Linked DNA regions of Callithrix jacchus. The protein of the gene in region 1 purifies or fractionates together with the protein of each later gene. This does not show direct contact. Links are inferred from orthologs where the notes say so. Each region holds a gene or a part of one and is shown in the gene's direction. Other genes may lie near its edges.

What was found. The genes of interacting proteins can lie anywhere in the genome.
Region 2: the proteins of RAB6B (region 1) and SLC12A4 purify together in Homo sapiens (co-immunoprecipitation; 3 studies listed by BioGRID and IntAct, with this or other methods). This does not show direct contact. The link is inferred for Callithrix jacchus from reciprocal best matches to the Homo sapiens genes RAB6B and SLC12A4.

The regions. Positions count from the first base shown.
Region 1 is NC_133518.1:50,350,693-50,355,170, forward strand, and holds part of RAB6B (ras-related protein Rab-6B), read left to right. Parts: intron 1-494; coding exon 495-606; intron 607-1,836; coding exon 1,837-1,930; intron 1,931-4,478. UniProt on the Homo sapiens protein: The small GTPases Rab are key regulators of intracellular membrane trafficking, from the formation of transport vesicles to their fusion with membranes. Rabs cycle between active GTP-bound and inactive GDP-bound states.
Region 2 is NC_133521.1:25,492,657-25,497,134, reverse strand, and holds part of SLC12A4 (solute carrier family 12 member 4), read left to right. Parts: intron 1-1,327; coding exon 1,328-1,459; intron 1,460-4,478. UniProt on the Homo sapiens protein: Mediates electroneutral potassium-chloride cotransport when activated by cell swelling. May contribute to cell volume homeostasis in single cells. May be involved in the regulation of basolateral Cl(-) exit in NaCl absorbing epithelia.

The DNA.
Region 1 (4,478 bases):
CCACTCAGTAGGGCCCCGCCTTCCCTAGGACTGCTGTGTTCTCCTCTGCTTACTCCTCACTGTCCAAACTTGCCAAGTCCTGTGTGTACGTGTGTTTGTGTGTATGTGTACGTGTGTATGTGTGTGTATGCACACACATGTGTGATCCAGTTCTCACTCTCCACTGAATCCCCAGAGTCAGGTCTGACTCTCAGGTGGGCCCCTAAAGCCACTATTCCATGTGGCAGATCATAACACTGTGACCTTCCAGATGGGGTGACTCCTTTCCCACAGAGGGTGGCTGAGCAGTGCAAGCGGCTCCCCAGGGCTGGGTGGGGCGTGGTTCCCTCTGAAAGTCCCAACCTGGCTAATCTGTTGACTGAGCTCACACCCCTCCCTGGGTATCTGAGGGCATGCGCTCACCCTCCCTCCTGCTCCTGGCTCACACCTCCCCTTCCCCTCTCCTGCTGGTGGTCGGCCCTGCCTTTCAGTTTATCCCCACTTTCTGCCTCCAGATCTCAACTCCTTCCAACAGACCTCTAAGTGGATTGACGACGTCAGGACAGAGAGGGGCAGTGATGTTATCATCATGCTGGTGGGCAACAAGACAGACCTGGCTGATAAGAGGTAGGCGCTAAGGCACACAGGTGCAGGGTGCTTACCCTCCACTCCTCTCTAACTGCTCCTGCACAGGGAGCTCTGGCGTGCATGGGTGGTGTGTCTATCCTGGCCATGCATCTGGGGAAGGTTCCTTGAGACACGAGGAGCTTTGAGAACACCTGGTAGACTCTCACCCATGGGTGTCTCATCTGTGAAGGCCTGCCTTCCACCGCCAGGCAGGGGCCAGGCACTCCTCTGTGTGCTGTCTGCACACAGATGTGTGCACCTGGCTTGGCCCAGCAGTGCACGGTGTAAGGCCACAGCACTGCCCCAGACACAGCAGTCCCCTGGGCCCCAGTGTGTGCACTGCAAACTGTCTGTGCCTGTGTACCGTCCACACCAGTGCGCATGGGGGCGCGAATGCCCCGGGCCCTAGGTGTGTGCATGCAGAGCATCTGGACCACAAACCTATAGCCGGAGCCTGCTCAGCCTGGTTTGTGGCTGCATATGGCGTGAGGCTCTCTAAAGTGGCTTTTCCACACTGCCCTCCATGAACAGGGAGGACTGAGGTGCCATGTATGTACATTGTCCACTCATCTCACGTGACCCTGACTTGGGCAGACAAAGTGATAGGCTGTGGACTCCAGCTAGCAGTGCAGGGCTCTCGCAGCGTCCCTTGACCACCTGAGGGATCATCTGAATTAGAGCCTGTTTTACTAGAGTTCTGTCCTTGAAGGAAGGAAAACTGGGCTCAAATCCCAGTGCAAAGGGTACCCAAGCCTTTCATACCCTCACCCACTTCTGCCTGCTGCATTGTGGAGCCCCTCAGCTTTGTGGCCTTGGGGGAGACACTTTTAACCTTAGCGTTCTCATAGGGAAAATGTGACTAATAATACCACCCAGAGTGGCACTGCCTGGCTTGAATCTCTTCACAAACACAGGCTCTGCAGTAGTGACTGTTGGGAAAGGCAGGTACGGGGCAGTCCTACCCTAGGCCTGCCCCATGGCCTAATTGAAGCTGAGAAGACACAAAGGAAGGAGTGGGGGGAGGGGATAGTGTTCTGCTGTTCCCTGGTGCCGCTTTGTGCTAAGAGACTGTGGTTGGCACCCGGCAGAGGCCCCTGGGATCAGAGCCTGTCTTCTGGGCTGACCAGGGGCCCAGTGGGCTCCCTCTGCCCTGCTGGACGGGTCCCTCCTCATCTCTGCCAGGGGCTGCTCCTCTACGGAGCTGATTTCCCTCCTTCCCCTCATCTCTAGGCAGATAACCATCGAGGAAGGGGAGCAGCGCGCCAAAGAACTGAGTGTCATGTTCATTGAAACCAGTGCAAAGACCGGCTACAACGTGAAGCAGGTGAGGACACACCTGGTACCGGGCCCGGCATGGCGTGGCCCTGTGGTCAGCCGCAGGCTCAGACCTGCCTTGCCCTGAGGGGCTGGTGATGGGGTTGGGGCAGCCAACCAGAACACCCATAGGTGCGTCCAGTGCAGGGCGAGCTAATTTCTGGAGCTGGTAAAGCCCAAGAGAGGGAAGGAGCACTCCAGGCACAGCGTGTGGAGAACGTAAGTCACCAGCCACTGTAGCAGCGGCCAGTCATGGCCCATGTAGCAGGCCCTAAGGGTGTCCAGCCACCAGCTTCCAGGCGGCTGAGGGAAGCAGTGGTCCCCTAACGTCTCACCTCACTTCAGATGGTGGGTGTAGGAAAATTCAATCCAATCAGCATTTGGGGTTCATGCCTTGCACTTCGCAAGTGCTAAGGGCTATGGAGGGCAACTCAGGCGTGGAGAGAAGAACCCACCATGGTGTGGTTGGAGCTCACAAGAGTTAGGGCTGTGGAGTTAGGGCTGACCTTGCAGCATGAGGCCCCCTGAGTAGTCCATGGATGGAATTCAGCAGGTCAGCAGACAGGGCTGGAAAAAGTTGCACCTTTATCTTCAGTAACTACTGACTCGTCCATAGCACTGAAGGACGCCTGATTGGTCCTTCAATGATGAGTGTAGGCAGTGACTCAGTCTTCTTAGCAGTGCCCATGGCTTTACCACCAGCAGAATTCACAGATGCTTGCCTGTCACCTCATGGTGTTGCAGGTATCTTGAAGTTTGCATGCATCACTGTTCCCTGTCACAGGAGTTATTATGTTCATAAGGAAGCATGAATATCAATGCAGTTTATTTCAGTACTCAGTATTTCCTTTATCATTCTATATGATTGATTTCACACACTTCAAAGGAGTCCATAGGCTTCACCAGACTGCCAGAGGGGTCCTTAGCTCACGAAAAGGTTAAGATCTGCCGTTGGGGATGAGAAGGACTTGGAGAGGTGGTGAGGAGGGCAGGCACGCCAAGCAGGGGAGCAGCAGAGTTGTGGCTGCAGGGTGCTCGAGGTGTGGGGAGGGGACGCTGGGTGAGGAACATGGTTGGCCTGGCTTTCTTTCCTGCCTTGCCACTCCAGCATTGCTGGGAACCCTTGGCAAGCTGTGTATGCAGCACTGGCCTTCTGGATGCAATGGTGGTTTGCCCCATGTGGGCACTGCTGGTGGCCGTGGGGAAGGTGGGCTGGCAGAGTGACAAGAAGAGACAGAGTAGAAGGGATACTATGTGACACTGGGGAGCCCCGAAGCTCCAGGACTTAGTGCCCCACCCTAACTGGAGTATCCTCAACAGGGCTTCACTCACTCCCATCTGTTCCCAGCCTCCCTTGGTGTGGGCTGAAGCTGTCACGGTCCTTCCCACTTCCTGGGGGCATGCAGGAGAGACTGGGCTGGGCTGCTGCTATTTGGGGGTCCTAAAGTCATGGGATGTAGATGGAGGGCAGCACCAGGAGGTCCATAGGGCAGGTAGCATCTGCATCCGCAGTCAAGGTCAGGGAGGCACTGATGCCTTCACCCCCAGAGGGCTCTGGAACCCACGCAGTGGTTTAGCAGGCATTTAAGTGTGGTCAATTTTGAACACTGTGTGGCTCAGAGGAGTCTCCATGTGGTGCGGACTTCTGGATCTAAATGTGAGCATATCCACTCACAGAAACCCATACCTGGCCCTAGAGCACCCTTCAAACTGGCATTTTGGCCACCAGCAGAGGCTGTAACTGTTTTCACAGCCAGACAAGCAGATTGGAGCTGCCCAGGGCAAGGCCGTGAAGGAGAGCTCAGGAAGGGTGGCCCAGGCCCTTCGTACCCTTGCCCACTAATGCCTGCCCCACTGCAGAGCCCCCTCTGCAGCCTGTCCACAAGGGTCCTACACCCTGCCGGGCCCACCAGCAACTTCCCACTTGGGCCCTCACTGCCTGTAGCCCTGTCACTCAGCCCGGGTGCTCAGGGAAGGGGATAGTGTCCTGTGGGCTCTGGGGTGAGGCCATGAATAAGACTCACCCTGTCTTCAGAGAGCTCATGCAGTGGAGGGTATGAGCCCAGAGCCCACCCAGTTCCTGCAGTTCGCATTTGTGAGGAGAGCGGGTTAGTCCATTCAGGCTACTGTAACAAATTGCTATAGGTGGGGTAGGATATAAACAACAGAAATGTGTTGCTCACAGTTCTGGAGGCTGGGAAATCCTCAGTCAAGGTGCAAGCAGATCCAGTGTCTGGTGAGGGCCCATTTCTTCCTAGATGGCGCCTTCCTGCTGTACCCTCACTAGGTGGAAGGAGCAGACAGGCTCCCTCAGGCCTCGTTCATCAGGGCACTCATCCCAACCATGAGGGCTCTACCCTCCTGACCCTAAGCACCTCTTGAAGCCCCACCTCTTCATACTGTCACATTGGAGATTCTCTTTCAGCATAGGAATTTGTGCGGGGACCAGCATTCAGAGCATAGCAGTTCAGAGTCCTCTGTGCCTCATACTTCTGCCTTGTCACCTCCAACATTCCATCTCTGCCAGCACCCCATCTGCCACTTGCCCCTGTCCCCTG
Region 2 (4,478 bases), on another chromosome or scaffold:
CTCAAATATTTGTCTCTACTTGAGTGTTATCTTTTTCAGACTCATGCTAAGCAGTGAGATCTGGATTTAAGATGTGGTTTAAGCTCCTTTAAGCTCTTAAACTCTGACCCACACATTCTGCCACTGCATGGCTGAATAATGGAGACTCCTCAATCTCTCTCTCTTCTCTCTTTTTTTTTTTTTTTGTTTTGAGACAGAGTCTCACTCTTCACCCCAGGCTGGGCTGGAGTGCAGTGACACGATCTCGGCTCATTGCAACCTCCACCCCCAAAGCTCTGATTCTCCTGTCTCAGCCTCCCAAGTAGCTGGGATTGCAGGTGCCCACCACCATGCCTGGCTACTTTTTGTATTTTTAGTAGAGACAGGGTTTCACCGTCTTGGCCAGGCTGTTCTTGAACTCCTGACCTCTAGTGATCCTCTTCCCTCGGCCTTTCAAAGGGCTGGAATTCCCACTGTGAGCCATAGCATCCAGCTGAGGCTCCTCATTTTCCACATGCCCCCAAGGGCCCTCATCTGTCCTTCTCAGGACAAAGCAACTATTCCCTGTGGGTAGGTCAGAAGGGAGCTGACAGAATGGGAAAGGCTAAATGTGGGCAGGAGGAAGGTGGAGGCACAGCACTGAGAAGGCTGTAGGAGCAGGGATCATCACCTAGACCCTGGTGGGGCTGGGGAGCCTGAGCCCTGGGAGGCCTCCTGACCTGGGAAAGCAGCAAGGTTCTGCAGTGAAGGCCTTGGCCCAGCCCTACCTGAGGATGGGCTGGAAGGTCAGGATCCCATCTCTGCAATTGATGTGGGTACTTGCAAGACTGAGATCAGGGGAAGATCCTCCAGGGAGATGAGGGTTTGGGCAGACAAGAGAGACTTCACTTGTCCCAGACATTGCTCTTTTGCCCTCTTTGGGTCCCTGAGGTGACTAGGGTGGCTTTTTTGTAGGGAGGGTAGATGTGAGTCCTGGAGGTGCATCCATAGCTGGGAGGTCGCCAGGCAGAGCAGGCAGGATGAAGTATGCCATTGCCCGCCTGCCAGTCGTGTTCTGCCCTGCCCTCTCTCCCCTGAGGCAGGTAGTTTTCACAAATGGGCTGGCAGTGATTGCAGCCAAGGTGAAGCAGAGAAAAGCAGCCACTGGGCTGGGCCTTTGAGTGCCACGTGCTGGGGTGTGGTGCCCACACCTGCCCAGTTGGATGGCTTGGGTTTCCCCAGGGAAGAACTGGGATCAGGCCCAGGCCTGCCTCAGGGCTTGGAACAGGGCCAGGGACCAGGCAGCTGGCTACGCACAACTGGCGCCTGCTTGGCCCAATGCCATCTTGCCCTGTGGCTCTGTTTACAGGAAGAACTGGACATCCGCCCAAAGGTATCGTCTCTTCTGGGCAAGCTTGTCAGCTACACCAACCTCACCCAAGGCGCCAAGGAGCATGAGGAGGCTGAGAGTGGGGAGGGCACCCGCCGGAGGGCAGCCGAGGTGAGCTGGTTGTGGCAGCAGAGGGGCCATACCTGGGAAGACAGAAAAAACATCATAGAATTGGCTGTTTCCCCACATGGTGGTGAGCACCCCATGGGAAGTGGGTGCGAAGCATGGTGAGCAGGGAGGATGGGCACTGAATGCCTTGGCTCAGGAGGCTTCAAAAAGCAAGCTAATGAGAATCTCCCCAGAGGCAGAGGGCCAGAGAGGCCCTCAGGAATGACAGCGGGAGTCACAGCCGCCTGTACTCAGCCCTTACTGTGTGCGAGGCGCCACAGCAGGCAGTGGGCCTGGGTTCTCATGTGTCATCCACACAACAAAACCAAGACCTGGTGCTATTATCGTCCTTGCTTTTTAGATGAGGAGGCAGGGTCAGGGACATTAAGGAACTCGTCTAAAGTGACTCAGCGAGACAAGATCACTGTGTAATGCTGGGAGATGGGTTTGTGGATTTTATGGGAGACAGATTTGTGGGATATGTAACTACGCAAAATGCCAGATCAATAACATTGTGTGAGGGTGGCTAAGGGTGTTACCCTCGGAGCAAGGAAGCAGGTTGTCTCTCTAGGCCATGCAATCTAGAGCAAGTCACAAACCCTCCTGCCACTCGCAGTGTTAGCCTGGGGCTCCATTGGCAGAACCCTCCGACAATCCCCTGGGTTCCTTGAGTGCCAGGGTCAGGTGATGGGTATATGTGATCGGAGCCTGATGCTGCCTTGTGGGGCTTCCCTGTCTCCTTCTTTTTGGTCATGAATCCAGTTCTCTGGCCCTTCAGCCCTCCTCTCTTTAGGGTGACTGTTACCTCTTAGCCTGGCTCCTCTGTGTCATGGGACTCAGTATAGCTGAGGGCTAGGGATTTTTTTACATTTTTGGTTTGGAGGTAAGGGACCTTCCCTCTCTACATACTAACTCCCTGAGGTTTGGAAAGCAGTGGTATTTGGGGAGGAGCTGAGGTCTGGCACTGGCTGTAGTATTCTTGGAGGTCAGCACAAGCAGAAGGAGCTCCTGGCTGGGATAAGCCAGGCCTCCAGTCTCACACCTGCTCCAGAGATTTGGGGCTTGCTGGGGTGGGGCCAGCAGAGAAGGTAGACCCCGCTGAAGCACACCTCTGACCTTGCCCTTCGGGGAGGCAAACCAGCTCACACTTCAGAGAGGGCAGCTGATACCTTGAGGTGGCACAGACCTGACCCTGATCCTGTCCAGCCACATGTGATTTTTGTTGGCATGTTCTGGACTAGATAGCAGAGAACCCTAATTATGTCTGGCCATCTCTGTCCAGCACTGCAGGGGTGTCTCAACATCTGAGAGTGCTGCCCACAGTGGGTAATGGGATCCTTAGGTCACAGCCTCATCCCTGTCCCTTCAGGCCAAGCCAGGGGGCTAGTGGCTGGGAGTGAAGAGGCCCCTAAGAAAGGCTGGTGCACATCTCAGCAGGAGTTTGGGAGGGATGCCTGGGCCAGAGAAGGCCCATCCTTCCTTGGCCCAATGGGGAACCTGTGAGAATGCTTAGCTTATTCAGCTTACCTGGCCTCAGGGTAAGGAGGAGAGAGGGTGACTGGGTATCCTAGCTCCAGTGGTTTTTCCATGAAAGAAGGATGAGCCTGGTAAAGTCTTTAAGGAGTCAGTAGGAAGCCTAGGGATCTGGGGCTGCTGAGCTGTGGTCCTTACCCAGGGCAGCCCTGAGCAGGGGCCTTAGGAAAGGAAAGCTTGGAGCAGGAAGGGTGGGTCTTGAACCAGACCACTCCAAGACCCAAAGCAGCCTCTCCCCAGTAGCTGCTCCAGCTCCAGTTCCAGCCTGATGACCTCCTAAGGCTGCCAGAGGTTATTTGGGGATGCAGAAAGCATTTCCGGCCCGCCCCGCCCTTTTCTCAGAGTGACTCAGCCTGGGATGGGGGTGGGACGGGGAGCTCTTGCTGACACTATTCAGTGGGTGGCACCCTCTGAGAAGGGCTCAGACAAAGCCCAGATGAGAGGGATCCGTCCCCTGCGCTGCTCCTCAAACAAATGGTTGAGGAGCCATTTGTTTTTGCTGAGGCTCTCCTGAAGTGCTTTAGGTCACTCACAGGTCCTGCCCCTTCAGGAGGGGCATTAAGGAGCTTGTCTAAGGTGACTCAGCTAGACAAGATCACAGCCATGGAGTTCTCTTCTCTCTAGCTTCAGGGCAGCACTGGCACTGTTTTCGGGGGGCTTCCGTGTCACCTCTCCCTGAATGATTTTCACTACTTCAGTCCTTTGGCTCAGTGAGGAAGCTTTGCTGAGGCTCCAGTGGAAGCTGTCAGGGTATCACTGTGAAGGCTGTGCTCTTGGGGGCTCAGTGCCTCAAGAAGATGTCAGCCAGCCTTTGTGCTCTCAGCTTCTGCCCTGGCTTCCTGGCTGGCCCCTACTTTGCTCTGAGATCAGAAAACCTGCCTGGATATGTACATTAGATCTTCCTCACCTGCCCTACAGCCTGAGTACTTTCTCTGTAGGATTTTTCCAACAGGATGTCCCAGGGACTTCCAAAGCACCACTCACTGGGTTCAGAAGTACCTTTTGGGTACCTGCAGGTCCTGCTGGTGATAGAACCATAAATAAGCCAAGTCTGCCCTAATATGGTCACGAAACACAAGTATAGTCTGTTAACATGTCCCATGGTAACCACTGTGGTAGGGAATATCAGATGCCTAAAGAATGTAGGAGGGAGGACCGATTCCACCTCCGGCAACCTGGGGATATCTTCCTGGCAGAGGTTGACAGTTACACCTCCTGAGGCCGGGTGCGGTGGCTCACGCCTGTAATCCCAGCACTTTGGGAGGCTAAGGTGGGTAGATCACGAGGTCAAGAGATTGAGACCAGCCTGGCCAACATGGTGAAACCCCATCTCTACTAAAAATATAAAAAATTAGCTACATGTGGTGGCGTGTGCCTGTAGTCCCAGCTATTTGGGAGGCTGAAGCAGGAGGATCACTGGAACCTGGGAAGCGGTTACAGTGAACTGAGATCACACCACGGCACTCCAGCCTGGCAACAGAGTGAGACT